Linked DNA regions of Macaca fascicularis. The protein of the gene in region 2 binds, or shares a complex with, the protein of the main gene of each other region. Links are inferred from orthologs where the notes say so. Each region holds a gene or a part of one and is shown on either strand. Other genes may lie near its edges. The genes, in order: CRY2 and PER2.

Evidence for each region.
Region 1: the proteins of PER2 (region 2) and CRY2 are in contact, whole or in part, in a crystal structure (PDB 4U8H), measured with the Mus musculus proteins. The link is inferred for Macaca fascicularis from reciprocal best matches to the Homo sapiens genes PER2 and CRY2. Residues at the interface, in NP_035196.2 of Mus musculus: Tyr1132, Leu1134, Gln1135, Asp1136, Pro1137, Trp1139, Leu1140, Met1142, Ala1143, Asn1144, Thr1145, Ile1149, Met1150, Met1151, Thr1152, Tyr1153, Gln1154, Leu1155, Arg1158, Asp1159, Leu1160, Val1163, Leu1164, Asp1167, Gln1168, Lys1170, Leu1171, Leu1174, Gln1175, Ser1177; in NP_034093.1 of Mus musculus: Trp58, Ser63, Ser64, Val65, Lys163, Leu166, Thr167, Lys169, Arg170, Glu215, Leu216, Gly217, Phe218, Asn330, Pro331, Ile332, Cys333, Ile334, Gln335, Ile336, Pro337, Asp339, Asn341, Pro342, Glu343, Leu345, Ala346, Lys347, Ala349, Glu350.

The regions. Positions count from the first base shown.
Region 1 is NC_088388.1:20,008,298-20,024,211, reverse strand, and holds the start of CRY2 (cryptochrome-2), read left to right. Parts: upstream 1-5,632; 5' UTR 5,633-5,645; coding exon 5,646-5,860; intron 5,861-14,187; coding exon 14,188-14,296; intron 14,297-15,914. UniProt on the Homo sapiens protein: Transcriptional repressor which forms a core component of the circadian clock.
Region 2 is NC_088386.1:134,194,814-134,210,950, forward strand, and holds the start of PER2 (period circadian protein homolog 2), read right to left. Parts: upstream 8,002-16,137; 5' UTR 7,835-8,001; exon of another isoform or gene 7,561-7,834; intron 1-7,560. UniProt on the Homo sapiens protein: Transcriptional repressor which forms a core component of the circadian clock.

The DNA.
Region 1 (15,914 bases), on a different chromosome or scaffold from region 2:
CATTGTGGTTTTAATTTGTAGCTCCCTGATGAACTAATGAAGGTGAGTACCTTTTCATGTGTTCATTGCTCACTTAAATATCCATTCTTTGGGGCGAGGGTGTGTGGAAAGTGTCACAGGTAGCCACTATCTGGGGCCAGCGTCGTGCAGGCAGTAAAAAGAATTTACCAGGACAGTTGTAGGTAAAGAAAGGCAGATTTATTAGAGAAAGTATGAAAATACATTGCAAGGGTGCAATGGGCAGGTCAGCAAGAAGGGAACTGACTACAAAGAGACAAAGGCTTGCTGGGGATTTTATAGGATGGTGCTTGTGCTATGTACTGAAGAGGACTTTGTGCAGTGCTGATAATGCCAAGGTTGCAGTGAGCTAACTTGTATTTTTCTATCAGCCAAGGGACTGGTGATAGCTGGGCACAGGAGGGCAATGTGTCCTGGACCACAAAGAAAGGCAGACTTACAGTTTATCTGCTTTTTCTTTTTGCTTTCCTTCAATCTCACCAGTCTGACTCCTTTTGCTTAATTAGGACTCCACAGAAAGTGCCTATTCAAGTCTCTGGCCTAGTTTCAAATTGGGTTGCCTATCTTTTTTTATTATTATGATTTCTAAGGGCTGTTGACATATTCTGGATTTGAGCTCTTTAAGAATTATAAATATTATGTAAGTATCTTTTCTCATTCTATGGTTTGCTTTTTCACTCTCTGAATAATGTTTTTTGATCAACAGTTCCTAATTTTAACATAGTCCAACTCATCAATATTTTCTTTAACGGTTAGTGCTTTTCATGTCTTTTTCAAGAAATGTTTGTCTTCTCCCAAGGTTGCAAAGATATTCTCCAATACGATCTTCTTAAAGCTTTATTGTTTTACCCCTCACATTAAGCATATAATCTACCTGGAATTGATTTGTATGTTGTGAGATGGAGTCAACTTTCACTTTTTTACAACAGAATATCTGATTGACCCATTACTTTCCCCACTTCTTTACACAGACATCTTTGTCGTGAATAAAATGTCCAGATTCATGTGGACCTGTTTCTGGATTCTCAATTCTGACTCATTAGTCTATTCACCTTTCTCTAATTTCATACTGTCCTTTATTATTAGTATCATCATCCCCATTTTACAAATGAGGAAGCTAAGGCACAGAGAGGTTAAGTAGCTCGCCCAATTAAGTAATTTGCTAGTTAATGTCAGATCTGGAAATGGAACGCAGGGAGTTTAGTTTTACGGTCTATGCTCTCAATAAGCTTTACTGCTTCTCAAGCTGAACAGTTCCAATAACAAACATTTTACGTCACTACATCAAAGTAGGCTTTGCGTGAAGCCTTGGGAACAGGGATGCCGCGGTGTTCCCCGCACAGCCGAAAACCGAACCGCCGTTGTCCCAGTCCTACCACTAGAGGGCGCGGGTAACTTAAACTCGCCGGGGAAGTCCCTCCCGCCGCGCCCGATTACCTTTCAGCCAATCATCAAATATTTACCCAAAGCGCGGTTCAAAGCCAAAGTAGAAAGTTGTTTAATCCAGTCTCCATGCAGGACATTAACAAAAAGAGACAAAACAGGACTAATCTATCTGCGTAAGCATCTTCAGGGAAGAAAGACGCCACTCAGTTCCTGGCTAATTCATCTCATCCTTAAAGCACCTTATCCTAAGTCGTCTCTCCAATCTTCACTCTTCCTAGTGTAAACTAGGTTGTTTGACATCCTCATGACAACCACTCTTTGGAGGTACTTTTTACAAGGTGTACACTAGAGTGCATTATTATGAGGTCAAAAATTAGCTCTTATTTCTCTCGAAGAGACAATAGTACCCCATTATATTTCACTTCCTTAGCAACGTACAAGTTTCTTTGGTCTCTCTCCAATTTCTCCGTGTCCCTTTTAAAGTGTAAAAACCCAAAGTGGACTTTGCACCCTATTCTATCTAGTGTCAGATTTACTTCCCTATTCTTTTTTTTTTTTTTCGGAGTCTCACTTCGTCATTCAGACTGGAGTGTGGTGGCATGATCTTGGTTCACGGCAACCTCCACCTCCCGGGTTCAAGCGATTCTCCTGCCTCAGCCTCCTGAGTAGCTGGGATTACAGGCACGCATCACCACACCTGGCTACTTTTTGTATTTTTAGTAGAGACGGGGTTTCACCATGTTGGCCACATCAACTCCTGACCTCAAATGATCTGCCTGCCTCGGCCTCCCAAAGTGCTGGGATTACAGGCATGAGCCACCGCACCCAACCTGCTTCCTGATTCTTGAATGTTACACTGTTAATATACTAAAGCAATATGCAATTATTCAATGAAGTATTAATAGTTCATCTTTGTTAACTTGACAACACAAACCACACAAAAAAAAACCACACAAAAGTAACGATGCAGCAATATACAACAGGCTTAATATTTTAAGTTTCAAAAAAGCTGGGCCAAGTGCAATGGCTCATGCCTATAATCCCAGCACTTTGGGAGCCCAAAGAGGGAGGACTGATAGAGGCTAGGAATTAATTGCTTAAAGACCAGCCTGGGCAACATAGCAAAGCCCCTGTTTTTACCAAGAAAAAAAAATGTTTTTTAAATTAGCTGGGCATGCTGGTGTGTGCGTGTAGTCTTAGCTACTCAGGAGGCTGAAGCAGGAGGATCCTTTGAGCCCAGGAGTTTGAAACTGTTATTGAGCTAGGGTCACAGCACTGCACTCCAGCTTGGGTGACAGAACAAGACCCTGTCTCAAAAAAAAAAAAAAAAAAAAAAAGAACAGGCAGGGCATGGTCGGTGGCTCACACCTGTAATCCCAGCGCTTCGAGAGGCCAAGGTAGGTGGATCGCCTGAGGTCAGGAGTTCAAGACCAGCCTGACCAATATGGTGAAACCCTGACTCTACTAAAAATATAAAAACTAGCCCAGTGTGGTGGCAGCCGCCTATAATCCCAGCTACTTGGGAGGGTGAGGCAAGAATTGCTTGAGCCCAGGAGGCGGAGGTTGCAGTGAGCGGAGATCACACCACTGTCACTCCGGTGACAGAGCGAGACTCCGTCTCAAAAAAAATAAAAAAAGAAAAAGAACAAACAAACTATGCAAACCATGGAGCACTGAACCTCTGCTTTGATTACAGTCTGCTTAGGTGTTTGTGGACAAAGTCTAGAAGGCAACATGAAGATAAGAAATAATTGATTTGTTAGGTTTTGGGAACTGAGGTTGATTACTTTTTTCATTATTGGCAAAATTTCGAGGACTTTTAAAAAATGAGTAAAATATTTTATTTACTCAGCAACTTATGGAGCCCACATTACATGTACGACCCAGGGCTGAGCATTACAAGGAAGAGAAAACCAGACACAGATCCTGCTGCTCAGAATAACAGTAGCTGATACAGTACAAATGCTTAGTATATCCTAAGTGCTATTATCACCCTATTGCAAAGATTAAGAAAGTGAGGAACAGAGAGGTTAACTAGCTTATCCAAGGTCACAGAGATTAAAAGCAGAACTAGAATTTGAACTCAGCAACTCTAATGTGCGAAGCCTAGGATTTAACCATTACACCACACTGCCTCTCATGATAGCTTAATAAGAGAGAGAGTGGAGGGGAGGGAAATGACTTTTGATCATTTGGCAAATGTTTTTCGAGCACCTACTATATGTTAGGTACCAGAGTACCAGCTGGGAAGACACTGATAAGTAAGACAAGCACAGTCCCGGGCTCACAGAATACAGATACAGCATTACGGGAATTTAGAGGAGTAAAAGGGAAGAGGACTCATCTCTGAGGTTGTTTAAGGGAGAAACACCTCCTTACACTCTGTTCCATTCCTAGCAAAGCACCAACCTTGTGGAGAGAAGAGGGGATAGGAGAGGGGGAACACAAAACCTTAAAATAAAAGTAATGAAAGGTGGCATCGATTTATTCAGCAAGCATTTGGAAAGGAAATTCAAAAATAAGGACAGGGCCAGGTAAGGGGACTAGGATAAGCCTCTAAGAGCCTGCCAATATGAGACTCTAGTGCAATTTTTACTCAAATAATCCTTGAGCGTTAGGTGCCAAGCACTGAGCTAGACTTTGGACATACAACTGTAAATAAGCCACAGCCCCTGCTCTCCAGGAGTTTATACTTTAATGGGGCATTAAGACATTTAAGCAAGAAATTCCAGTATTGTGTGCCAAGACAAGTGACCACAAAGAAGCACAGAATGAGACGGGGCACTATTCAGGTTGGGATCAGACAGCAAGAAGGTGACATCTACACTGAACAATGATACAGAGCAAACTGGAGTTAGAAACAAAGAAGGAAGAGGGAGTGTGATCTAGACTGCGGGAACAGCTTGTGAAAAGTCCTGGAAATGGCAGAGAATGCCTAGGATTGCAGTGACACTGGTTTAGAGAGTGGTGCCAATTAATGCCACTAAATTGCAGACTAAATTGCTAAATGCTTTCATCACACTGTCCCAGGTCCAGGAAGGGTTCCAAGCATGGGCTCAACCTAGGGCCAAGTTGAAACTGACTGTTCTCCACCTGATAACCCCAAAGCTGCAGCTTGACTAAGCCATCTTAGCCTTCCCCAACACCTTGTTGCTGGTGTTTATAGCTTCTCTTGCCATTTAGTCAGTCAATCAGCAAGCTCTATGCTAGACGCCAGAGGAATAAGAGGGTTCCACCTGGCGTCCCAGAAGAATGGGGACAGTGTCCTCCACATCTCTGAACCCCACCCGGAATCCAGTACAGTGCTTTGCACACAATAGTACCACTGGATCTACTAAACAGACTAAAAGAAAATAAATTCATCTGATGGCATAATTACGAGCTCAAGTCCTCCACATTCCCAGTCCCTACTCCCAAATCCTCTAATGCTGCGTATCAGGGCACTCCTTCTCCATCCTTGGACTCTGCCACTTGGAATTACCAAGGATCTTCGCACAAAGAGAAGTATAGCTTCGTGGATAAAAGCAGAAGTTTCAAAATCAGAATAATATGGGTGAAATCCCTCTTAGTAGCTTTATGATACTGAGCAAGTCGCTCAACCTGCGGCACCCTCCATTTTCTTCATCTGTAAAACAAAAATAACAGCAGCTCTTCCACTGGTGTTCGTTAAATGAATGTAACTGGGCTGAGTTCAGAATAGTAAATGAGACCGACTACGTAAGGAGATGATCATGTCTCTTGCCATATAAAGTGCACTTAATAAATGGCAGTTGTAGTAGAATGATGTAGATGATGCTGGTGACGATGTTGGTGATAATAGGAAGGTCAGTTGTCAGTTTTGCAAGTCTCTGGCTGTAGTCACAGCAACCCCTACCAGCCCAGGTAGCTTCTTCTAGAAGCAGGCCCTGAACAGGACATGTGTAAGAGATCCGCTGTACCTCGAGACTCGGCCCACTCCCGGCCCTCCGCGGACTGTGCCAGCCTGCGTCACTTGTCCGCCTGCCAGCTCCACCCAGGCGGACCCACACATGGTAGGAACGTGAGGGGGCGGGGCCTGTTCTGGCGTCTCTGGGCCAATCGCCGGGCGGGAGGCACTCAGCCAATGGCACAGGGGCTCTAAGGCCCTGGGGGCGGGGACGAAGGGAGGAGCTGCGGCGTCATAGGTCACTGGGCGGTCTGTGGGCGGGGTCCGCGTCGCCTACCGGGGCGGAGCGGGGGTGGCCGGAGCAGTCTGGACAGTCATGGCGGCGACTGTGGCGACGGCGGCAGCTGTGGCCCCGGCGCCAGCGCCCGGCACGGACGGCGCCTCTTCAGTGCACTGGTTCCGCAAAGGGCTGCGGCTCCACGACAACCCGGCGCTGCTGGCGGCCGTGCGCGGGGCGCGCTGCGTGCGCTGCGTTTACATTCTCGACCCGTGGTTCGCGGCCTCCTCCTCAGTCGGGATCAACCGATGGAGGTGAGGGGACCCGGGGCGGGGTGGCGGGGACGCAGCCAGGACCCTGACCCTGGGGTGACCGGCAAACAGCACGATTCTCTCAACCTCTCCACGGCTGTGAGGCCGTGGAGAAGCCGAGACCGGGGAAGTAATTCGTCATGGTCCTAACGCGCCGGTGGGCCAGGGCTCAGCCTCTGACAAAGCGCGTTCGCACTGTTACCCCTCTGAGCCTCACAACTGCCTGTGGAACGGAGATCATGATCCCCGTTGTACAGATGAGACCCTTGGGCCCTGGAGACCCAAAGTCGACCTGTCCAAGGACTTGCAGCCAGTGAGTGGCGGAACAGGGGCTCCTGGTCTAGGGCTCTTATGGTCTACTCAGGGAGGGGCAGAAGGAGATACTGTGGTGTGAGGGCGGGACGGGTTTTTGCTCGCATTCTTCAAGTAAAGAGCCCATTGCTGGGCTCGGGGAGATCATTCCTAAGCCTCTGGCTTGTTTGAATCCGCCCTACCACCCATCCTGGCTTCCCTGCGCCCAGACCGTCCTGCCTCTAGGGGTGTCAGGTGACCCTGGCTTAGCATTAAATAAAGTCTTCTCCCCTATATTATAAATAAAGAAGCCAAAGGTGTCTTCAGGTGGAATCGCGTTGTGTTCAAAGCTCCAGAGAATCCAGGGGATTCTCCAAAATGGTTTAAGCCCTGCTCTGGAGCTTTGACCTCGATAAAAAAAATTTAAAAGGATCCAAAGTGTCACCCCGTCATCCTCTTGTCATGATTTTAGAGGACAGTTGAGCCATTAGAGATGAGACTTCTATGAACTGTTGTGCTAAGGTTAGGGAGCAGGAAAGCCATGATATCAAGGGCCCCTCTGATGACCCCCCAGGAGATGGAGTCGACATGATCATGGAAAAAGATGAACAGGTCGTTAATGTATTTTCTTTGTAAGCAGTATTCAAATTAAAGAGTTTTGAGACATCATGTACCCATCGCTCTTCAGAACACCTAGTGGCAGTCGCTGGGTTTGTTTACATTGTTCTGGGGAATGTTTGCTTGTGGCCTTGTTGCACTGATGGACAGGGTTATTTCCAGGATACCGTGGCTCTCGGCACACCATTCTTTTCTCTCCAAGGTGTGTACCCTGCTAAGAGAGTGAGTGCTCCTAGCAGTAGGTCTGTTCAGTGTCCCCTCTTGCCCAGTTTATATAGAAGGAACAATTAAAGAGTCCTGTGGAGAGCCTGCCCACAGTTTTCAGGCTGCCTTATTGCTCTGTCTCTGCTCCAGTTTTCTACAGATAGGAGGTTGGGTTTGACAAGCATCATCAAATGACCATCCCTAGTGTGGACATTAAGCCAAGCCTCAGACTGCCCTGCACCAGTCAGAGCCAGCCAAATGGAATCCGACTACCTTCTTGTTACATTGTCACAGAGTTTCTTCTTTTATTGGGTTTTGGGGGACACTGCCTAGTACTACCTACTCTTTTTTGATAGGGGAGATTAAAAATCAACAATAAAATTCCTGTTGATTAAACTCCAGTTTGCTAGGAACCAGGTGTTTATGGATTTTTGTGGGTTATCGTTTTGTGATTGTGCTGTCAATCTAGTGAAGGAGAAAAGGAATGTGGCTTAGATGCCTGAGTCAAATCCTGAAGTCAGAGGCTGTGTAGGAATGCAGATATTAATTGATTACTTAATGAATGCCTAATATCTGCCAGGTAGTGCTCTAGATGTTGCTAGGGATACAGCAGTGAATAAACAGATGTGTCTGTGCTCCAGAACTCCTGGAGCCTACATTTTATTGAAAGAAGACCAGCAAACAACCATAATTTAGTGAAACGAAGTGCCATGAGAAACATAAGATAAGGGGACAGACTAGAGCAGTGGTTCTCAATCTTGGCTGCTATGTATTGGAATCCCATAAGGATCTTTAAAAGATGCCTGGGCCCCTTTCCCCCAATTCTTTTTTTTTTTTTTTTTTTTGAGATGGAGTTTTGTTCTTGTTGCCCAGGATAGAGTACAATGGCACAGTCTGGGCTCACTGCAACCTCCGCCTCCCAGGTTCAAGCAATTCTCTTGCCTTAGCCTCCCAAGTAGCCAGGATTACAGGCGGCCACTGCCACATCTGGCTAATTTTTTTGTATTTTTAGTAGAGACAGGGTTTCACCATGTTGGCTAGGCTGGTCTCAAACTCCTGACCTCAGGTGATCTACCCACCTTGGTCTCCCAAGCTGCTGGGATTACGGGGCATGAACCACTGTGCCCAACCCCTTTCCCCCAGTTCTGTTAGAATTGTTCTTGGTTATGGCCTGGGCATTAAGGTTTTGGGGTTTTTTGTTTGGTTTTGGTTTTGGTTTTTGGTTTTTGGTTTTTGGTTTTTGGTTTTTGGTTTTTTGTGGGGTTTTTTGAGACAGGGTCCTGCTCAGGTGACAACCCAAGCTGAAATGCAGTGGCATGATCATAGCTCACTGCAACCTTGACCTCCTGGGCTCCAGCGATCCTCCTGCCTCTGCCTCCCAAGTAGCTGGGACTGCAGGCTTGCACCACCATGCCTGGCTAATTTTTGTATTTTTTGTAGAAATGAGGTTTCACCATGTTCTCCAGGCTGGTCTTGAATTCCTGGTCCTAAGCAATCGCCTGCCTGAACCTCCCAAAGTGCTGTGATTGCAAGCATGAGCCACTGTGCCCGGCCTTGGGCATTAAGGTTTTTAAAACTCTTATTGCAGCAAAGCTTGAGAAGCACTGGACTAGAGAACCTCAGTCCTGAGCTGGGCAACCTAGGAAGTGTGTTGCAGTGCATTGACAGGAAGTCTAATTAGTCTTGGCGTTCAGAAGAAAGAGGTGAAGTAACACAAACAGATTGAATATAATAACTGCTCCTGGGCCTGGTAACAGACACACTCCTACCACCTCCACCATTCTGCTTGCTTCCTGGATCAGTTGAAGGCAGAGCTGCATTCTCTTGTGTACAAAGTTGGGGATGGAGGGGAGGACTGGAGCCAGCCATATCTTGACATGACTGTAGTATGTGTAATCGTCCCGTGGCTGTTTCTGGATTCCGAGAGTGGTCTGAGAGAATTGTGCTGCACCATAAGGTCCTAGCTCTGTAGCTGCTTAAGTTGCCTCTGAGAAGCCTCCCTAGGAAGGCAAGGGAACATCTGCAAGGAGGGGAGGACCCAAAATCTGTGACTCTATTTCCCTCCTGCTCCTCCTACACTGACTCCCACACAGTGTTTTTCTGCAGATGAAATCAGATTAAAATAACTATGAATGGCACTAGGAGTAAAAAAGGACAGAGAAATGCAACCAAGAAATACACATATTGATTAGCAAGAAGAAGGCTAGTATACTCCCTGCCTTGGTGATGGTGGGAAGTTTATGGGCTAATTGTAGCTATATGAGCCTCAGGACTTTTTTTTTTTTCTTCCTCCCAAGTGCTGCTTGGCTAAACCCTTTCACATTTTCTCCAGCCTCACCTCCCCCAAATTTGCTACATCTAGAAGGAGGTACTGCAGCAAGAAGATAAACAAAAGGAAGATGTGAGCAGTTCCTAGATTTTAAAATGGGCTCTGTGGTTTTTCATTACCTTTCTCTCCCCACTGCGACTTAGGTAGGTGTTAGCCACAATTCCTCTTCCACTTTATTGAAATCATTTTGTCCCTGGCTCTGTGCTGCACCTCTTTCAGGAGCTTCCGGGACAGAGGGAATTTGTGAAAATAAAATATGTTCCCTCTCAGCCCCTTTCTCTCAGAATTGGTAAATAGGGTAAACTGAGAACTTCCCAGGATGTGCCATGAGAACAAGTGTGCCTCTCTTCCCAGATGCTGAGAGCTGAACACTGTTGGACTGTTGGGAAGTGGGTTGAGAACTCGTCTACTGGCAGGGAAACAGGAGCTTCTCTGAGCTATTCACGTTGATATCTGAGAGAGGCACTTTACCGTTCTACTGCCAAGGAAATGTTTCTGTTTGCCCAAAGGGGATAAAAACCTTCATCCTTCTCTTTGAAATTAGGAAAGAATAAATATATTTTTAAAATAATAAGTATTTAATATTTAAGTATTTCTAAGTATTACTCAGATACTTAGAAATAAATCCCTGCCAGAGATTGTGAGTTTAGGTTATCCTTTTCCATGGGGCTTAAGCGCTCTTAATTACTTAGGAAAAGTTAATTTCTATTAATATCCTATGTAGCCAATCTGTGCCAGCCAATGGTATCATCATTATTGTTAGATAACCTTGGCTTGAAGCAGAAGAACTTGGTCAAGGACAGCCTGGACCCAAAAGAATTCACTGTTATCTTCCCTCCCCCTATTAACAACAAATAAATAAAATATTCCTCAACACAGGGTCAGTAGAGACAGCCATCCGTAGAGAAGGCCTTCCCAAAATGTGAGTACTTAATCAAAGGATCTGCTTGTTTTATTCTAAAGGCTAGCCTTGTAGAGTCCCTGAGTTATAGTGTCCTCTCTGTATTTTTGGAAATCCCAGTCTGGTTTTCTCTAGTTCTGCCTGCCTCTGGCTCCAGAGCACTTACGTAATAATGTAATTCAGTTGCACATGTTGTCTAATCCAAAGGGTAAGCTTTGCTCTCCCAGGACCATGTGCTCTGAATTTTGGCCATGTGAGCTCAGCTAAGAGCTGCCAAGGGTGAAGTGCCAGCCCCCAACACTACCACCTCCAATGCCAGGCCAGTTTCCTTCAGAGTCCCCTCACTGGAGTAAAGAGAAATTGGAGTAAAGAGGAGGGTTCTAAGGCACCACAGAAGGCCCAGGGTTCTCTCTGGTGAAAGAATGCATATACCTGCCCAGTGAGCCTTTGCCCAGTCACGGCACTGCTCCAAATGTGATGGACAGCTGTCACCTGGCAGGCCTCAAAGGTGGTACCCTAGTGGTGGCTTCTCATTCTATGCATTCTCTCGCTGCCTGGAGTCTGGAGATACTGGGGACCCTCCTCACATCTCCGCCTGTTGCCTCCGTGTGGTGGCTGTCCTGAGCCCTCCCTTCCTGGGTTGACTCGGGAGGGAAGTTGGAAGAAGCAGAGCATTTCTAGCAGGCCAAAGGGGAGGCAGAAATATGGATGCCCAAGAGAGAAAGTTTAGTAGAAACAAACTAGAAGCAAAGAAAGGCAACTTGTAACAGAGGCTAGAAGTAAAATTCAGTGTTCTAGAGTAGTGCTTGTGAAACTTTAATATGCAAATGAATCACCAGGGGATCTTGCTAAAATACAGATTCTAATTTTGGAGGTCTGGGTTAGAGTCTGAGATTCTGCATTTCAACAGACTCCTGGGTGTTTCATAGCCAATGCTGCTGATTGTCAGAACACACTCAGGAGGAAAGATCTGGCAGCAGAGGTGTTGTTGGCCTTTGAGTTGGCCTCTGGTGCTCCCTAACGGCTGAGCCCTGGGCAGCACAACCTCAGTGCTCTGTTTGTTGAGAGGCAGTGGCTGGCTAAAAACAAACATGTCAAGCCTGACAGATTGCCTGGGTTTGAATTCTGGCCACTTATTAGATATATAATGTTGGGCAAGTTCCATAATCTCCCTATGCCTCAATTCCCTCATCTGTAAAATGGGAATGATAATAGTACCTACTTGATTGGGCGGTTTGAGAATTAAATGAGATAATATATGTGAAACAAGTAGAATAGTGCCTGTCAGTGTAAACGCTCATTAAATGTTAGTCATTGCCATTATTATCATTGTTTTTATTGAGTTGCTGGGTTCAGAGTTGGGCCTTCTACCAGCCTCACATCTCTGCTTTCTGCTGTAAACATCTCTTGTGAAAGAAGAAAAGGCTCTCATAGGATTAGCTGTACTTTAGAGATGCTACGAGGAATTTCTCCTTTTAGTAAATGAGATCTAAAAATAAAGTTCTATAGAAGGCAGATTGCTACATGTTCTGGAACCTAGATTTCATGTGCATTCCAACCTTATTTATAGCTTCAAATCAAAGTCCTATGCAGCCTCGTGGACTGTGAAGGAAAAGGCCCCTGAAGCGCACAGTGAGGACACTCCTGGGAGCTGCAGATGGAGGACCCTGTGTCCTGGGGTTATGGAATTTAAATCACCGCTCCTAACCCTAGGCATTCTACCTGGCAGAGTCCAGCTTTCAGATGGCATGAGACCATTTGCATGGATTTCTCTTCTTTTCCTTCTAGAAGAGTGGTGAGGCTTGGGGGAGGCCAACACAAGTGACGCACTTGCAGCTCCCTTTTCCTTTTCTGGAGGTGTCAATTTTTCAAAAACAGAAATTCACAGAGGTGGAGCTTTTGGTTTGCATAAAGCAGCATTCAACCTGTTAGTCTTCCATCCCAACCCCTCAGAGAGTCTTCCACATGCTCTTTTGCAGACATGATGCTTTGAGCCGAGCCCAGGGCTCAGCCCGTGCTAGAATGTGGGTCGGTGGCACTGGCCGTAGGAGTGTGTCAAGTTGTGTACGTCAGAGGCAGCAGTGGGAGCTGGTTCTAGTTGACAGCCTGGGAATAGTCACTGCTTCTGTAAGCCTCCAGTAGTGAGACAATGTGACTGTGATGTGCCATTCCTATTGTTGACAGAGAAGAATGCTGGGGATGGGCAGAGACCCAGGGAGTAGAGAGCGGGTGCCTCGGAGGTGTCTGTGACATATGCAGATTGGCCTGTTTGTTCCTGAGGAAGATGAGAATGCCAGTGGACTACCTGTAGTCAGATTGCTATTAGAGAAAAGGGTTTCAAACTCCTGAGGGCCTGCAGAATCTCAGCCCTGGAGCAGAGTTGGCGTACAACTAGAAATCTTTAGAAATGGGGCACAAAGCCCTGCACGGTGGCTCACACCTGTAATCCCAGCACTTTGGATGGCTGAGGCGGGCGGATCACTTGAGGTCAGGAGTTCAAAACCAGCCTGGCCAACATGGTGAAACCCCATCTCTACCAAAAATATTTTTAAAAAAATTAATTGGGTATGGTGCACATACCTGTAACCCCAAATACTCGGAAAGCTGAGACAGGAGAATTGTTTGAACTTGGGATGGGGAGGTTGCAGTGAGTCAAGATTGCGCCACTGCACTCCAGCCTGGACGACAGAGCAAGACTCCGTCTCAAAAAAAAAAAAAAAAAAAGGCACAGAGAGGAAAATGTGGGTTTCAGAGTGACCACCCTAGGTTCCTGAATCCCCAGCTTTGTCACTTAACAGCTATGGTCTTAGGCAAATTAATTTACATCTGAGTGTCTCAGTTTCCTCATCTATATAATAAGGATGGTACTATTTCCTTCAAAACAGTTGAGAGAATTAAATGCAGAAATGCACTTAAAAAGCATGACAGAACCAAAATCCCATTGATAACCTTGGTTGCCTCTGGGGAGGGAGGGAGGGGAAAGCCCTTTTTACTGTGTACTGCTTTGTCTCTGGAATTTTGAGCCACATGAATAGTTTATCTGGTTATAATGTTAATTTAACTTAAAAATAAAACACTGAAGGCACTCAGCAAGTGTTAATTTCCTTTCCCTTTCCCCTGGTGATCCAGGTCTGCTGCTGAAGTTCTTGCCTATCTGTAGTCTTCCCCATCCCCACCCCCACAAAAATGTGAAGATAGCTATTGAGAAGTACCTTTTAAAGCCTTCTCCTTCTTGGGATGAGAACCTGATCACCAGAACCTTGGAGAAGCCTGGAGAGTAAGCCACCTGCCAAACAAAGCTGTGGGAACTAGGGACCCATTGCCGGCTGTGAGGCTGTGGCAGCAGAAATACGCATGGCCCACAGCATGCGTGCAGAAAGTCAAGGAGTCTTTTCCACCAGAGTAAGGAGGATTTTCCCAGCTATGGCAGTCTGCTCCTCTGCTAAGAGGACCTTAAAGCTTCATACCACTGTATTGCACTGGCTTTTCAGATGGCTCCCATGTGAGTCTCACAACAACCTCGTGCTGGGCAGATACTTATATCTAGCCCCCGAGACTGCGAGGGAATAAGTGACTTGCCTCTGATCACACAGAAACACCACACTAGGAACAACTCACATTTATCTCGTGATGTCTGTGTGCCAAGCACGGTGCTAAATGTTTTTCACACATTATTCGATTTTCTTTTCTTAGCAATTTGATGAAGTACTAACATCAGCTTCACATTACTGGTGAGAAAACAGGCAAAGAGGTTAGGTGATTGCCTAAAGTCACACAGCTAGTAAGTGGCAAGGCCAGGGTTTGAAGCAGAGCAGCGCTGATCCACCACCACATCCCTCCTGGGCTGGAACCCTGGCCTCTCCAGCCCTAGTGATCATGAGGCTGCCTGTTGGGCATAAACAGTGAACCAGTTTCTCCCTGCTTTGTTAGGAAAGAGAGCCACTCTTCATGATGTTATCACTAACAAGGCCTGTGTGAACTCTGCAGGTTCCTACTTCAGTCTCTGGAAGATTTGGACACAAGTTTAAGGAAACTGAACTCCCGCCTGTTTGTAGTCCGGGGACAGCCAGCCGACGTGTTCCCAAGGCTGTTCAAGGTAAGCGTGCAGAGCCCCAGAGAAGACAGTGAGATTCTGTCCCTGAGGGTTTCCCCACAAGCTGAGTGAGATGATATTCCGACTGAGGGAATGGAAACATCAGGGCTGGTCTGGCTATTGCTGCTAGAGAAGTTGGGAGCAAAGGCAGCCAGTTAGCTTTCTCTTGGAATGGAAACTGTGTTAAGGAAAAAAATTCTGGGAAACCAGTGTCTTGTTGGAAAGCTCTCAGCTCAGTCCAGACATAGGATGTGGTAAGTCATTCCACCCCGGATGCCACTGGCTTCTGTCGATGTTTTCTTGGCTCAAGCCAGCAAGATTTATTAGGGTTCCTTCTAGGCCAAGACTTTGAGGGTGGGGTTTCATTTCTAGCAAGGTGTGTTTCCCATCTTGCTTTGCTCTGCTTATTGGGAAAAGTCAGCCTTTCTGAAGAAGCTTTCTTGTTTCCCATGGGATAAATGATTGATAGAAATCTTCATTTTGGTGCCACATAGGTTTCTGTTTGCAGTATCAGGGGGCCAGTCTACTTTTCCCTCAATCCCTTTAAAAGTATATTCTAAGGCCCACACAGAAGCACAGGAACTGATGGACAGAGGGCTCTGGGACAGACTGCCATCATCCTCAGCAGCACACAATGATTGTCTTGCCCCTCTCCACCCTAACTATGAGACAAAAGGAAAAGTCATGTCGAGGCAAACAGCTTAGTGAATACATCATCCTTCAGTTCCCCTCCCCGCACCCCCACACATAATTGCGCATACATGTACAAATCACACAGTGCTAGTAATTGCCCACATTCATTGAGGGCTGCCTATGAGTCAAGCGCTGTTCCCAGTGTTTGTTTACATCAACTCACTTCTTCCTCACAGCAGGTCTAAGAGGTGGCTACTGCTATCCCGATTTATAGGTGAGGAAACAATAATTGGTTGTGAAGTTAACAAGTGATGATCTTGGATTCTGACTCTAGAGCTGTGTCCTCTCCCACCATACCATATAAATACATTTGCCTCCCTTCTCCCCTCAACATTGCCCTTCTCTTCCCCAGCAACTCAGAGGCCAACCCACTTCTAGCCCAGAGCTATAGCTAGGTCATCCATTCAGTCATTTAATGTATTTTTATTGAGCTTCTGCTAGGTACTAGGCCCCATACTAGGTATAAGGATAATGATGATGAGCAAGACAACATGGTTTCTGCTCTGAGAGTTCACACTAATGGGGGAAACAGGCAAGTGTATCACTGTCATATAATACATGCTGCAGTGGAAAAAAGACAAGGTGCAGAAGAATTATAGTGAAGGAGGAGGTCAAGAAGGCTTCTTGGAGAAAATGTCATTTAATAATATTGTTATTGTTCACAGGTTACAATGAGTATTCAGTGATGTAATCTATATGAACTGTAAGCATGGTACCTGACTTATAGCAAGGGCTCAATCAATGTTTAATGCTGGTATCCTCGAATGAGGGATAACTGGCCCTGCTAAGGACCCACTCCCCAGGCAGGGCTGAGTCAGGACCAGACCAGTCTGTGCATGGCCAGGACATTTGCCCCTGTGGTTCAGAGCTTTCAGAGACCATGACCAGAGACTTTGGAGAATGTGTTTTTCTTCTTGCAAGTTGAATG
Region 2 (16,137 bases):
TAACTGCATCTAGATGACAAACAGTATCTCCAAGGATAAAGAAAATCCTATCAACATTCAAAGAGAACAAACAAGTTACCCATAAAGGATGAAAAAAAATCATACTAGTCTTGGATATCTCTTCAGCAATATTAAATTTCCAGAAGACAATGTCTACTTTTTTTTTTTTTGAGAGAGAGTCTTGCTCTGTCAACAGGCTGGAGTGCAGCGGTGCAATCTTGGCTCACGGCAACCTCCGCCTCTGGGTTCAAGCGATTCTCCTGCCTCAGCCTCCTGAGTAGCTGGGACTACAGGCACACACCACCACACCCAGCTAATTTTTGTATTTTTAGTAGAGATGGGGTTTCACCATGCTGGCCAGGATGGTCTCGCTCTCTTGATTTCATGATCTGCCCACCTCGGCCTCCCAAAGTGCTGGGATTATAGGCGTGAGCCACCGTGCCCAGCTGTCTATCTATATATATTAATAGCTCTGAGAGGAAAAGCTTATGGTCAAAGGGAGGAAATCTCAATTACAGGATACTTGATTGTGGGTTACATAGCTGGTTTTATCAATATCCTGAGTCATATAAAACCCAAAATGCCAGCGTCATTCCACTTAAAGTCAGGAACAAAATAAGCAAGTCTATTACTCCTGTCTTTGTTTGTTTACATTTTATGGCAGTTCTAGCAAATTCAATGAAAGATGAATGGTAATACCTTTTGGGAAGAGAGAGACTAAGCACGAAGACTGCCTAGGCCATTCCCACAAAGAGAAACACCAAAGATTTGTGAATTTGTAGAGACAGGCTCAACCTCATTAGCATCAGGAAAATGCAAAGGATGAGGTTATCATGCCCATCAGGTTGCCAAAAATTAACAGGACTGCTCACCCTAGCGTTGGTCAGGTGGAGGAGTGGCTCTTGAGTATGGTGGTATAGTAATAGGGTATTTCTGGAGAAAAATTTGAGTTCACAGCAACGTTTATAATCTGCATACTCTTCCCACCTCCAGGAATCCATTGCAGATAAGTGCTTATTTATGTGCACAGAGATGTGTGAGCATGGAATATAAAAATCTGGAAAGAACCATCAACAAGGAGGCTACGCATCCTGTCCACGATCATCCTGGCCAGGAGCCAGCCTCAAATTCCAAACTGGTCCCGTGCCTCCACCTGGCCCTGCTATGGTCAACACAGCATCTAGAGCGATCCTGGTGAAGGGGCTTAGCTTACACCTGGCCTGTGCTCAGACCCTTGCTCAGAGCACAGCTCTAGTGGGCATGAGGGCCAGAGGCTCTGCAAGTCCAGCTCCTGCAATCTCCTGGGCATGTCCTGTTAACTGCCCACCCCTTGGCCCCAGCCCTGTGTGCTCTGACCACAGGGACTCTGCACTTGCTGCTCCCTCGTGCCCACAGCCCTCTTCCTGTAGATGCCCTGGGCAGCCTGCATGAACAGCACTGCCTGCCCACCAGCTCCTTCTCTGTGCCCTGCACTCCTGCTCTGTGGGCTTTCCTTGCCAGCACTGAGGGGCGGGTTGTTTACTGCCTGCCTCCCCTCTGGGACCTAAGCTCCATGCGGGTAGGGGTTTGAGTTGGTCACTACTGGATCCCCAGGCCCTGGCACGTACTGTTGAAGACACAAACCTGGGACATCCATGCTCCGAATACTATACACCCACTAAAAGGACGGAGGCCAGAAACACTGATGTGGGGAGAGTCTCAGACATAGATGAACAAGTCCAAGAACAATAAATAACGACAACAATAAAAAGGACAGATGGCACTCAGGCAGGGCCCGCCTGGTGCCAGCAGTTTCCCACTGACTTGCCCTTACTCGCTTAGCACTGAGGCCTGGCACTGGGGCAGACAACAGAGCAGACATCTTTCCTGCCCTCAGGGAGCTTACATTAGGGGGAAACAGACAATAAATAAGAAAGTAGAATATACAGTACAGCAGGCAACTAGCAAGGGGGAATAGAGGGGCTGGGAGTGACATTTCAGTGAGGGTGGCCCCAGGTGTAGGTGGCATTTGGCAAGGACCTTGCACTTGAGCCCTCATGTGTGAACTGACTCAGAGTCCCTGGGCTTCGCTCTCTCAGGCTGGCAGTCACGTGCTCCAGCAGCTCCTTCTGGCTTCACACCTGAGGCTGGGACTGGGTGTCTCTGTCCCTGCCTGCCCTGTGTGGACTCAGACAACGTGCCACTCCACTGTGGGGGTCCTTGCTGCCCCTCACTGTCCCGGCTGCTGCCAAAGGGTCTGATGAGGCAGCTGGACAGGAGGGAGAGCTCACGTGCTGGGCAGGAGGCAAGGTGGCGCTGGCAGAAAATGCCGCCTCCGTCTCTCCCTCAAACGGACCGTTCTGAAGTTGTCTTTCTTTCTTTCCTTCCTTTTTTGGGACAGGCTTTCTGAAGAGGTCCCAACAGGGTGAGCAGCCAGCTGTGTGTGTCTGTAAGGCAGAGCCTCATCTCAGCAGGGTGTCATCTTGTGTGTGCTTTCCAGACTTTTCTTCCTCACCTCCCTTTTCCTTTTCTACTGCTACCCTGGGACTGCAATTCCCAGTAAAGAGCTCACCTCAGACTCCGTTCTCAAGAGAGCCTGAAGGCAGAGCTGGAGAGCGTGGAGAGTGGGCTACCAGAGGAAGAACAAGGAAGAACATTCTAGGCAGGAGGACAGCACACACAAAGGCCCTCCAGCAGGCGAGCACCTGACCTGTCTGAGGATGGTGCACGAGGCTGGAGCAGAGCGGGCAGGGGCAGGAGGGCGGCAGCAAGGCCAGATCACGGAGTGCCTTGCGGGGGCAGATGGTCAGAACTCCGATAGGAAACCATGGAGAGTTCTGTGCAACAAGATGTGACTTACACTTTAATGGAGTTGCAGGGTTGAGGCAAGGGGGAAACAAGGAGACCTCTCAGGGCACTCTTGCCATGGTTCAGTGGAGCTGCCAAGAGGCTGTCCAGGGTACCAAGGGCATTCTGTCACTCCTGACCCCCCCCAATATCCTGGACACCACCCATCTCATCCCCATAGCCCTCCCCCAGACAAGCAGCTGGTCCTTTATGCTCTGAGTGAGTCATTAAGGTGATCAGAGGTAGCAGCAGAGTGGCTAAGGGGACAGGTCCTGGATGGCCTGGGTTTCAGCTGGGTTTCACCACTTCCTAAGTGTGTGATCTTGGACAAGTTCCTTAACCTCTCTGTGCCTTGTGTCCTCATTCGTGAGATGGGAACAACAGTAGTTTCTGTCTCCTACTGGTTGTTAGAAGGGTTAAATGACACAATCCATGCAAGGTATCTGGACTGTAATATTAGCTTGTATTATCACTGCTAATCACTACAGAAAAACAGACAGGGGGCTGGGCGCGGTGGCTCACGCCTGTAATCGCAGCACTTTGGGAGGCTGAGGCAGTGGATTACCTGAGGTAAGGAGTTTATGACCAGCCAGACCAAAATGGTGAAACCCCGTCTCTACTAAAAATACAAAAATTAGCTGGGCGTCATGGTGTGTGCCTGTAGTCCCAGCTACTTGGGAGGCTGAGACAGGAGAACTGCTTGAACCTGGGAGATGGAGGCTGCAGTAAGCCAAGATTGCACCACTGCACTCCAGCCTGGACGACACAGCAAGACTCCATCTCAAAAAAAAAAAAAGAAAAAAGAAAGAAAAGAAAAGAAAAACAGAAGGGTAACAAAAGTAATTTTAAAAGACAGAGAGTGAATTGTCACAGTAGCTGTCTCTGGCTTGTATTCTTGTATTTAAAGGACTAAGAACTCAGTGCCACCCCCAGCCCAGGCAGTCCTTGCAGGAGCATCAGGTATCTGAAGCCACCATCTGAAGCCACCATCTGAAGCTGTCTGGGCCCTGGGCACTTTGCACGTAGCTCTCCTGGTTTTCACTATTTTGCACTTAGCTCCTGGTTTTCACCCAAGTCCAGCCCCTGTGAGCCTGTCTGAATACGACCCACTAGTGCCCCGACATTACCTTAAGTGGAAAATAAGTATTTTTGCAAAGAGGACAGAGTAAGCTTGGCAGAAATGTGAAAGCCAAATCATCAGAAACTTCGTCATTCCAGAAAATGCGTCTCAGCCCTGGCGGCTCTAATAGACCAGCCTCATTTTGAGAAGGTGGCAAAACCAACACCCCTGTCAAAGTGGACTTTGCCTCCTGCCTTCCACAGATGTGTACCCAGAGCTGGCTGGACCAGCTGTCCCTGGTGAGCTCCTAGGAAACCTGTTTCTACCTTGTGGCAGGTAGGGGGAGGAAGGGCGGGCAAGCACTTATTTGCTCTGGGTGCCAAAGCCCAGGACGGAAAATGACAGCCTGGTGGAAAAGGGGCTGCCAGAAGCCAACATGAGCCTCTGGGCGTGAACCTGCCCTTGAGGCCCCCTTCACGTGTCTGCGCACTGGCTCTGCCCACAAGAACAGTCAGACTCAAGGAAACAGGTTAAGCTCGGACCCCTGACCAGGTCACTTGGCCATATTTGTGGTAGCTGGGTTGCCTCAACCTGACAGAGCACCATTCAGAAAGTACAGTCCACAAGAATGGAGAGCCTGGGATCAGGAAGAGAAGCAGCCGGTGGGGGTGGGGAAGGAGAGGGGCCAGGAGCAGAAACTACTGGCTGGTGGGGTCACAGGGGTTCGTTACCCTATTCTCCCTACTTTCATAGATATTCATACTTTCCATAATAGTGTTTAAAAATTAGGAATGAAAGCACAGCCTGGGACCCAGTTCCAGTTTCCACTGCCACTGCCAGGACTGGTGAAGTCTTACTGTACTCCATACCCTCACACCCTAAGGCAGAAAAGCATTTTTTTGTGGAAATCAGAAATCAGTGTTCAGTTACCAGAGGAGTCCCACCTCATGAGGTCACAGCTTGATGTATATCCACAAACAACATACCCATGTCACATGTCACCAGACGCAGGACACTGCCAGCCCCCCAGAGGCTCCTTGTGGCCCTCCCAGCCACCGTCTACCCCACGGGGACCCACTAGCTTGGCTTCTCGCAGCCTAGTGAATTCTACCTGCTTTTGAACTTTACATAATAAGGATCATACAGCATGTACTGTCTCTGCAAGTGCTGCAGGATTTTACAACCCCAAATATTATAACATGTTTTCTACTTCCTGGTAGGAGCCAAATCCCTGAGGCCAGCCTGCTGTAATCCTGAGAAAATGTTTGTCCTGCTAAATAAACAGCCGCGCTCTCCATGGCAACGGTTGGGTAACTGCGGAAAATGTGACCGCAGCCGTCCAAATATGGAGGGAAGGAGGTGCACCAGGGAGGCATTGTCTTGGCCTCACCAGGACACCTTTAATGCTCTCAATTCAGACTTTTAAATCCTTACATTTTTAGAACTACAAGACTTTACAGCAATAAGAAAGGCAAAAGTGTCAGCGGCTGAGCTACTCTGAATTGCGGGAAGCTGAGGCATCTGCTCCTCCTGCACCTGGTTTCTTAAAGAGCAGATTCTGATTCCTCTATGTCACCCCAGGAAGAGCACGAGGAACCCTTCGAGGCCGGTGAGGGATCAGCACAGCAGCCCACTCTGTCTTGGGAACTACCAGCCTCTGAAAACCAAGTGGCCTTGACTCCTGTCACCCGTCACTGCTGTTCATTTACTGCTTCTAATTTGCTCTAGACTTGGAAATATGGTAACAAACTTGTTACAAATGTGTACACGATGAGCATAATGAGTTGAAAGGAGGGCCTGGTCCCTAGGGGAGAGTGCCTGGGCTTGGGGAGGGGCCCATCAGAGGCCCCCTCTAGACTGTCTGATTCTCCCTTGGTTCTGAAGGTTGGTCAGCTTTCCAGAAGTGTGGGGACAGTCTCTGCCAAGCTTATGGAATTGTGTGTTTCTGGCTCACTCTGCCAGAGTAGTTTTCAAAAGGTAAAAGCACACCCAGAGCCTGTCTTTCTTCTGACTAAACGCCAAGTGGCCCTGCCAGCTGTTCAATGACCTGACAGAGCCGTGGTTTGCTGAGTCCTGGTGAAGTTACATCATGGCTTAAAAACAGCAGTGTGACGACCAGTATTTTTGAGAAAGTTCAGTGTGTATGAGAAATAGTGCACAGGAGAGGAATCTTTCCTTGTTCCTTGTAAGCACTGCAGATGTGGCTCACAGGGGAACATTACCTGGCCCAAAGGCAAGAACATATCAGAAGCCTCTGTCTCCTGCGAGAAACCTGGGAAAAATCAACTGTAGGGTAACAGAAAATCAAAAACCTGGGAATTAAATTAGACCTCTGAGACTGCCCAATCTGAGTCCCTCCGAACAAATGAAACTGAGGCCCAGACTGGGAGCCAAGGCTCCCAGCAGCAGCCAGCTGGCTGACGCAGGGCTCCCCCTTCCCACCTGGCACTCCAGTCTCCACAGAAAGCCACGGCTGCGTTAGTTCTATACCAATGAATCACACCAAGGCGACAGTGACAGATAACTGCAAACACCCACGGTACCATCCCCGCGCTGGCACACCACACAGCTTCCACTTAAAAAAAACAACGGAGTCCCTTTCTTCATTATAGTCATATAGCACACAAAACTCAATTCACCTTGTATTTTAAAACTCAATTTCCAAATAAAGCCTTCAGGTAGAGTCCTATTTTCTTCTCAGGCACACCCAGTCTGGGACCAGAAGCCCCAGGTCGGGGTAGAAGATGGCATCTCCCCTTGGAAGCCAAGAAGTCTAGTGATCCTGCTGTGCCATATAAAAGTGAGAGGGGTCCAGGGGGGCTCTGGCCATGGTGTGAGGTTCTTAACACATTTCCCGGACTTAAGGCCCCTCCTCCCAAATTACAGCCCACCCAGGATTCAGCACCCAAGTTGAGGCCTTCACTGAACCTCTGAAGCTCATCCTGCCCCAGGGCGATGGGAAGATCCTGCAGACAGCCTGGGCCTGGGCCTCAGTTTGCTCATCTGTCAGGCTGAGGGGTTACTCTGGGTGATTTCAGGGTGCCTTCTGGCTCTGTTCTGTATGAATCAGCTTTCCAAACGGGTTCCTTCTGTGTAGGTTACAGAAACCCTGGCAACCAACTCGTCATCCCTTACCCTGGCCTTCCTGAAGGGGGAAGCAGGCCACCTCCCACCTCCTGGTCTATGTCTGGGACTTGGCAGCCGAAGTACATCCCAGAAGGTAGGTGCGACTGCTGCACCAAAGAGTGGACACCCCCATTCCTTTCTATCCAGTCCGGGGAGAGGGAATTAATACAGGGTGGTCCAGGGGAGGCAAAGGGGCGAACATCAGGCGGTCTCCCTGCCCTCAGGTTCCCAGGCCTGGCTTGGCACAGGGACTTCCTTGTCCCTCTGATCACCCATTCCAGGAGACCCGTGGGTGTCCAGGAAAAGCTCCTAGATCAGCGCCCTTCCACAGCCCTTCCCCAGCCCAGGACTTGGCCCTGTGGCCTCAGAGGAGGCAGTCAGCTCCCCGAGGGACCTCCAGATCCCAGGGCCAGCTGCGCTGACCCCTGATTTCCTTGGCCTTCCCCACGGGAGGGGAGGGAGGGTTCCCAAAAGAGAATCGCCCACGGAACCGCAGCCCACGCGCAGTCACTCAGCAACTCGGTGCCCTACACACGCTGCCGCCTCACCTTTCGGACCTCAGGCTCCTGAGCTGCGAAACGGGGGTTCGAGTCCCCAACCCGCGGTGTCAGCGCAATTCAAACGAGCGCACCCTGCGCGCAGCTCGGCCGCCCTCCACCTGAGACAGGGCCAACAGCACACGCCCCCACGCCGGCGCCGTTTCAAGCAGAGGAGTCCAGCGGCCCAGGGAACTCCCGGCGGCGCCGGGACCCCGACCTGCCCGAGGCCAACGCGCGGGCGGCGGTTACGTAAGCCGCAGCGGGGCCGCGCCGCGCCACTTACCGCCCGGCCGCGTTCGCGTCGGCCCGTCCGCCGGTCCCTCCGCCGACTCGTGGCTCTGTCCGCCCGGACCCGCGCCCGCTGCCGCCGCCGCCGCCACCACCGCCCACAGCTGCACGTAGCCCCTCAGCGCCGCCGCCTCCGCCGCGGCCGAGTCGCCGCTGTCACATAGTGGAAAACGTGACCGCGCGCGCCGCGCCCGCCCCCGGCGTCCGCCATTGGCCGCGACACCGTCTCATCTGCATACACGTGGGGCGGGGCCCACTAGCGCCGCGCGCCCATTGGTAGCGGTGCCCGTCGCTCTTTTTACATAAGACGCACATGGAACTCCATGTTCACCTCGTCGGTTCTTCAATGGAGATGCGGCGCGTTCTTGCCCCCCGTCGTCCTCCCTAGTGGTCTCATCCACTTCCGGCGTCGGCGCCTTCCATTCACGACGCCCTCGAGTCCGCCAGCTCCGGGAGCGCGGAGTGGCGCGTACCATTGCGGGCGGGGGAGCTGGGCGCGGGGCTCCTGTGCACCTCCGGCCGGCCTGGCCGACCTGGCGCCCCGAAGCCCGACCAGGGAAACCTCCACCTCCGGCCACCGGCCAGAGGCGCGCCCCCAGCGGCCAGGGCCGCGGGAAAGTCTGCGCAGCATGCTTCATTCACACATTCATTCATTTACTCATTCACTCATTCGTCGCCGGGCCCCAGAGCAGCCTAGGAGAAGGTGGCTGCACCGCCCTGCAGCAGCTGCTGGGGCACGCCCACCCGGGCCTCAGAGGTGCCTGTGGTCCACACTTGTCCCGGCAGTTACCACGTGTTACAATTTTTGGTTCAGGAAATAGAGTCACTGTTACTCTGGGGAGGTACAAAAGAAAGAAATGATGTTGTCTCTGCCCCCAAGCGCATCACTAGGGAGAAAGGACTGTCTCATAAAAAGGAAACTTAATCAAATGCTAAATTGGGCGATGTGGGCTATAAATTAACCAGAGCTATCCCCACAGGCTCCGTGAGAAAGGCAGCACTTCCAGGGCGGGTAGGATGGGCCCTGAGAAAGGGACACCTTAGGAAGGTGCAAGCGGTAGAGACGGAGAAGCCCGTGGTGGGAGGTTGTCCTGGGAGCCAGTGCGGCAGCGTGCATCACCTTGTCTGAGGGTTTGCTGTTTCACTAAGCATTGTTTGGGGCATGATGAGCCTCTAAACTTCCATTTAAAGTGTCAGGAGAGAGAGTACAATTTCCCCTGGTCTGGGTAGAAGCCTGAGACTTACAGGACAGGCAGGAGCTTGCAGGCTCCCATGCAGCAGACTCTGAAAGTGCAGGCTCCCATGGGGAAGGCGAGATTGTCCAGGAAGCTGGAACCCGCAGCATCTCTCTTTACTCTTCTTGTTCTTCTTTACCTGGACTCGCCTGGGGACCAGGGATGGGACAGAAGGAAAAGTTATTAACCCACATCAGGAATTCCTGAGTGTGCTAACTCTTTCCCTTCTACTTGACAAGGTGTGTGTGCAAATTCTCAGATGCAAACCAGGGCAAATACCAAGTTCATCAGGGCAGCCCTTCCCGCAGAAGCCCAGGGAGGCCTGCAGGCTGTTCACACACTGTCAGGTGGCCCCTCCTCCTGTTCCTCTGACATTGACATCTCAACACACTCCCCGCCCCCTCTCCCTAACACAGACACACAGAAATGCCAAGCAAATCCAGGCCCGGTTGCGCCCTGCACACACCCAAAGGCTCTTTTGTTTCTTCCCTCCCATTGACGTCAATGGGGAGCTCCATTGTTCTGGAAACAAGAGTAAACAGCTCATCCACACCTTACTGAGATTCTTCTTCAGGCTTTTGCTGGGTCTTGCTCCATATTCAGCCTGCTACCTGATGTCACATTTCCTCCCTAAATGTAGCCTTTTTCTATTTCCACGAATAAACCTGGTAGAAAGACACCGAAATCTATTCTTTTAGAAATTATCAAGTGCTTTGGGCTCTAGGACTCTTCAGAATCTCATCTATTTTCAGTTATTCACAGCCAGTTTCTTCTTTCCTATTATTGGAAATTTTTGTACACTCCACAAATACTCGTTGACACCTGAGAATTGAGGGGCATGCAAAAATACGTCTCACTGTATCCCTGCTTGTAAGGAGTTTGTGACGCAGAAGGGGGGAGGAGGCAGATTCAGAGGCAATTTTGTCTAAGATGTGGTGTAGGTCCTGAGGGAATAGGACAGCAATGGACAGATGCCTCCATCCCAGCTCCAACAGAGGATAGCGCTCAGGGGATGAGCTCCTACAATCAGGCCAAGTGCATGGATACCATTCTTGCTGAACCAAGATGGTGACAGAGAGGGGGAGAGACAGAGAGAGCGAGTGCAAATTTGGGCAGTCAGATTGGAGAAGGAAGGGGGATGAACCCTTTCCTAGCCAGCCCACACTGGCCAGCTATCACCTCCAGCACAGAGCTCAGAACTCTTGTGTAGGAGAATTGCTGTTGGCACTGTGGGAGGCAGGCTGGCTAGGAGAAAACTAGTCCTTTATTTGGGGGTGGAGGTGAGGTGGTATGCCAGGGTCCCCAGCTACCTTGGGAATGCTACCAGTGGGAGGAGCTGGCCTCCCAGCTAAAGGCTGCTTGGCCCCTGCCCCACCCACTCCCACCAGCCTGTTTCCACCAGTAAGCCTGGCCCAAGTTGGCCCTGCCCATCTATGTCTGGGCCTGCCTGTAGGGCTTCTCTGCACCCAGTCCTCCATGCCCTTGCTAGTCCACTCACTGGCCCTCTCATTCGCTCAAGCACCCAGCCAGTTGTTTACTGAGCAACTACTGTGTACCAGGCACTGTGCTGGTCACTGCTTCCTCTCACTGTGGGTGGCATGGTTTGTGGGTTGGCTAGCTGGAGGGGCAAAGAACAGGCGGCTAGGAAGAGAATTCCCTCTGTAAATGGAGGAGGTGGTGGCCCCCAAAGTCCTCTCTAAAGAGATGGAGGGGACACTGTCAAGCTTTCTGGCCCTCTAGTGCTGGATCCCCTTTCTTGGGTTTAGGGACATTGGAGATGGTAATGCCCAACCCTTACTCTCCAGCCTCCCTTGAACCCAGCGCTGACCTACAGCTGACCCCAGCTTAGCATGGTGGCAGCTCCTGGCAGGGAGACCCGGCTCAGAGAGGTGACCTCAAGGGCGTGGGCACCTGTGTCTAGGGTCTCAGGGTGAGACAAGGACTACTTGCCTCTAGTGACCTGAGAGCAGGTGCCTGTCCCTGGACATGAGGTGGTTTGTGGACCAATATAAAGAAGTATCTTCCAGCTCTTTGGGAGGCCGAGGTGGGAGGATTTCTTGAACCCAGGAGTTTGAGAACAGCCTGGGCAACATAGTGAGACCCTGTCTCTACAAAAAATAAGAAAGCCAGGCATGATGGCATGCTCCTGTGGTCCCAGCCACTTGGGAGGCTGAGGCAGGAGGATCCCTTGAGCCCAGGAGTTTGAGGTTGCAGTGAACTGTGATTGCGTCACTGCACTCCAGCCTGGGCAACAGAGCAAGAGTGAGACCCTGTCTTTTAAAAAAAGAAGAAGGCATCTTTATTATGCTAGCTACCTACTGAGAAGGCTTTTTGATTTTTAAACTAAATATAGATCCAGGGAGGCTGTTCTTTGTTTGGTGGAGACATGTGGGTGTGGTGTGCTCATATGTCTTCCCCAAGGAAGTCACAAGATTGAGCCATCCACGATGGATGTGCAGTCCCCATCTTTCTTCACCTTGCCCTGGAGAAGAGCCCGGGGAAAGGAGCTTGCTTGGAGCCTGGAACGTTAGCATCCTTGTCCCAATGACTCCTTTGCAAAGGATGCCCTAGAGATCACAGGGCCGGTGGCACAAGCTAAGACCTGCATTTGATGTGGGATAGAATGGTGAGAGTGGGCATCCTTGCCCCGTTCCACCCTGGGGGAGGAAGTGTTCAGTATTTCACCACCAGGTATGATGAGCCTTAGATGTTTGTTTTTTTATGGATGTCCATTGCCACATGTTCTAATTTGCTAAGACTTTTATTTGTTTTTCTTTTTCCTTTTTTTTTTTTTTTTCCTTTTTTAAGATGGAGTCTCACTCTTTCACCCAGACTGGAGTGCAGTGGCATGATCTCAGCTCACTGCAACCTCTGCTTCCCGGGTTCAAGCTATTCTCCTGCCTCAGCCTCCTGAGTAGCTTGGATTACAGGCGCGCGTCACCACGCCCAGCTTTTTTGTGTGTGTTTTTAGCAGAGACAGGGTTTCACCATGTTGGTCAGGCTGGTCTCAAACTCCTGACCTCATGATCCACCCGCCTCAGCCTCCCAAAGTGCTGGCATTACAGGCATGAGACACCACTCCCAGCCTTGTTTTGCTTTTTTTTTTTTTTTCCCCAATCATACATAGGTGCAGTGGGCTTTTAATCCATGACAATAGTTATTACTTCAAAAATACCTCTCCCAAATACATCTAATCTCTCTTTTTTTTTTTTGCAGATCTGCAAATAATTTAAATTGCCATAGCTTTGTCTCTGCTATACAATACTCTGTATAGATGTGTTTACTTTATTATTGTATCCTAAGACAAAAAATATAAATGAATAAAATAATTTGTACCTGAAGATTCTGTCTTTTTAATGCTATACATGCCCTCTTTATTGCTACAGAATTCAGTGTTAAATTGTACCCAACTGACTTCTCTTATTATCAGTTTTGCAAATAAAAGGCATGCTTTTAACCAAAGCCAAGAAACAATTTGCTATCATGTCACTTGAAAAATGATTAAAACTTCAAACTTTCTGGTCATTAAGGCCATTAAGAAAAACCAAGGATTTGGGAGGCTGAGGCAGGCAGATCACCTGAGGTCAGGAGTTCGAGACCAGTCTGGCCAACATGGTGAAACTCCATCTCTACTAAAAATACAAAAATTAGCCGGGTGTGGTGGCGCACATCTGTAATCCCAGCTACTCGGGAGGCTGAGGCAGGAGAATTGCTGGAACCCTGGAGGCAGAGGCTGCATGAGCCGAGATCATGCCACTGCACTTCTGCCTGGGTGACACGGCAAGACTCTGTCTCAAAAAAAAAAAAAAAAAAGAAAAGGAAAAAAGAAAAGACAAAGAAAAAATAAAAAGTGAAACCAAGGATTTAACTGAGACGAAAGCTGTGCCGTTTGGTGGGGAGAGGGTAGCAGTGGGTAGGTGATGCTGTATGGCACTCCTGGTTTGAGTTGCAGGTCAAGTCTCTGCCTCAGGAACTTGTGGACTAATTTGTGGATCAGGTTTTCTGGTCTCAGGCAGCTTGAGTTTCTTTCCAGGGCTTCAGGGCAGCCAATACCCCTCACTGTCCTGAAGGAGCCCAAGGAGAGGCAACTTGCCAAAACGCCTGCCCTGTCTGAGCTGATCCCCCACACCCAAGGCGATGCCCCGTCTGAGGTGATACCCGTGTTCAAGGTGATCCCCCACGTCCGAGGCGCCTCTTCCTTCCCAGGTGGAGGGTCTCTTATCGGTCAGGGTGTCATCCTGCTGACCTTCTGGGCCATGGACCTTGCCCAGGCAGGCCCCCGCATCAGGCTCCCTGGCTCTCTCCCTGTCTAGTGTGTGTCCTGCAGGGCTGTTGCCTCAGTGTGGTTCTGCCAGCATTCCTGGGGTGTCACTGAGGGGTAGCCCAGTTGGCGCCTCCAACCATGGACATCTTGGAGTCAGGAATGGGGGCCTTGCATGCTCTGGGGACCAACAAGGCCCGGTGTCATTAGGGCTCCTGATCCTGGGTGACACGAAGAAGAATGCAGAAGCCTGAGTTTGGGGCTTTGCATTCATACATGAGTATGGCCCTTGGGCCCCCCCGTGGCCTGTGAACAAGCTGTGAGGGAGCACGTGCTTGCTGTGTTGAGGCATCACGCTTGGCACTTGGCACACATTCTCTTCTTTAATCCTCACCACTCTATAGGACATGCGCCTGCGTTCCATTGATCCTTTGCAAAAGACATTCTCGACACCACGACACCAAAGGAATCCTGTGCGTCTGTGTTTTATGTCATCAAGGAGAAACTACCTTTGTCTGCAGAAAGATCTCATGGCCACCCTCACCACCCTGTCCTTATGGAGCCTGAGAACCAGCTGACTCAGCAGGGAAGACCACAAAGTCAGGAGCGACCAAAGTCCAAGCTCCAACGTGCCTCCCATTCTCCAAATATCAAACATTCTCCCCACTCAAAAGCTCCTCTGTGACTTGGCGAATGCAGGTGCTCCCTGCATTCTATTAATGTAATTCCCCTCAGTCCATAAGGGCTCATAGGTGGGGATGTCTGGGGTGCAGGTCCGTCTTGGGGATCACCAGCCCACCAGTGATGCCAGTTCACAGTGCCCTCCTTGGGAGAGTGAAGGCTCAGGCCTGTGCCCCTGCCTCACCCTCTGCCTGCTTCTGTGGCTCACAGAGTGTTTCCTTTGGTGTCTGGGTGTTTGTTCTCTCCTGCTGTCTTCTCCCTGGTGCCCAACATGGAAAAAACATCTCTTGTCCCTAAACCGAATCTTGTTGGTAGGAAGCAACAAAGTTGTTGTTGCTGTTGTTGTTGTTGTTTCTCTCTTCTTCTCCTTCTTCCTTTTCTTCTTCTTCTTTCTTCTCCTCTTTTTCCTTCTTTCTTCTCTCCTCCTCCTCCTCCTCCTTTCTTTCCTTCTCCTTCTTCTCCTTCTCCTCCTCTTTCTTTTTCTTTTAGAGATAAGGTCTTGCTGGAGTGCATTGGTGTGATCATGGCTCAGTGAAGCCTCAAATCCCTGGCCTCAAATGGTCCCCCTGCCTCAGTCTCCCAAAGCCCTGGGATTACAGGCATGAGGCAGGCAAAGGGGTCTGACTGGGTTACCCTGAGGGTGGAGGCATCCTCTCGAGGGCTGGGTGATGGATTTCCTGGCTGAGGGCAGAGGCAGGAGCCCAGGTGACTTAGAGCTGTGACGGCAGTGATCGTGAGGCCTGACCTGTGATGGTTCCATTGTGAAGAGCAGCTGGGAGCGAAGGTTGCCCGTGTACCCATCTTCTCAATCCTCCTCAACAGATGGAGTCCTGCGAGGAGGAGGAAGGGAAATTGGGAGACACCCTACCCACTGCCCAGGCCACCACTGAAGCTGGGGAGCTTTGTTACAGGGAGGAAGCCATGTGTAGGTGGACTGTTGGGATGCACAAAGGAAAACTGGGCTCCTTCTGGCCCTGCTGCCACCCACACCCGGGGAACTCTTTGAAAGCGCGGATGGTTGATTTGCACGATGAGGGGTGACATGTGCTGCTGAATGAAGCAAATGATGAGTCGGGGGATCCACACAGCACCCCTGCTTCAGAGTCAGTCGTGTGCCCTCCTGCTTCAGAGTCAGTCGTGTGCCCTCCTGCTTCAGAGTCAGTCGTGTGCCCTCCTGCTGCAGAGTCAGTCGTGTGCCCTGTGACCATGGCCATGGGCAGACATTCCCAGTGGGTGCTTGATGACCACGGTGTGGCGGCCCCAGGGAGCGTTCCCTGAGACCTTGAGCATAAACCCAGGCATCCCCACCGAGGCTGCAGCCACTCTGGAAGAGCTTTCTGGGCTCATGTGGTTGATGAGAATGCAGAGAATCCCTGCCACACTCTGGACTCAGAAAGTGCTGAACGGTTCATGGCAGGCAGGGCCCTCCTCATGGGCGGCATCTGCAGCTTGGTTCCTCCAGGCACCGCCGGGCTGCAGCAGTTTTTCCAGGCTGGTGCGTGCCTGGTCTCTAAGGAAGAGTCAGAAATAAAGAACTCCCCAAAGTGGTTCAGATCTCTACTTGAGACAGGAACGAGGAGCAAAGAACAGGGAGGACCTGAGGCTGCATGGCCCATGCAGACCTCCCAGCACATCCACCCTGCACATCCACCCCACTGGCTCTGAATCTGGCCAAACCCTAAACCAAGGAAGGCGAGAGGACCAGGAGAAATGACAAAGGAAAGGGGCTCTCAGGAGAAAAGGCATTGTGTGGAGAAGGTGCTAGAAGAATAGTGTGAAAACTGGAGAAGCTATCAAGAGGAGGAGCACAGGCAGGAGCACGGAGCCAGGAGTCCCCCAGGCAGAGAGCTTTGAGACCACAGCCTTGCATTGTCACCTCCTGGTCCACCTTGCAGGGCCTCTGAATCCTCTGAGAAGGGACTCGGGGGGTGAGATGAAGACACGATTCAAATGGGATTCCTAAAGAGCACTCTTGTAACGCTAGGTTCACCTTGATCTGGGCTTCCCTACACACTGTTTGAGTCTTTCAAACCACAGGAAGATGAGGAATGGGACCCTGTTCCCCGAGTTCCCTGCAAGGCGGTGGCTCTGGACCACACATGCTGGAAACAGAAGGGGGCC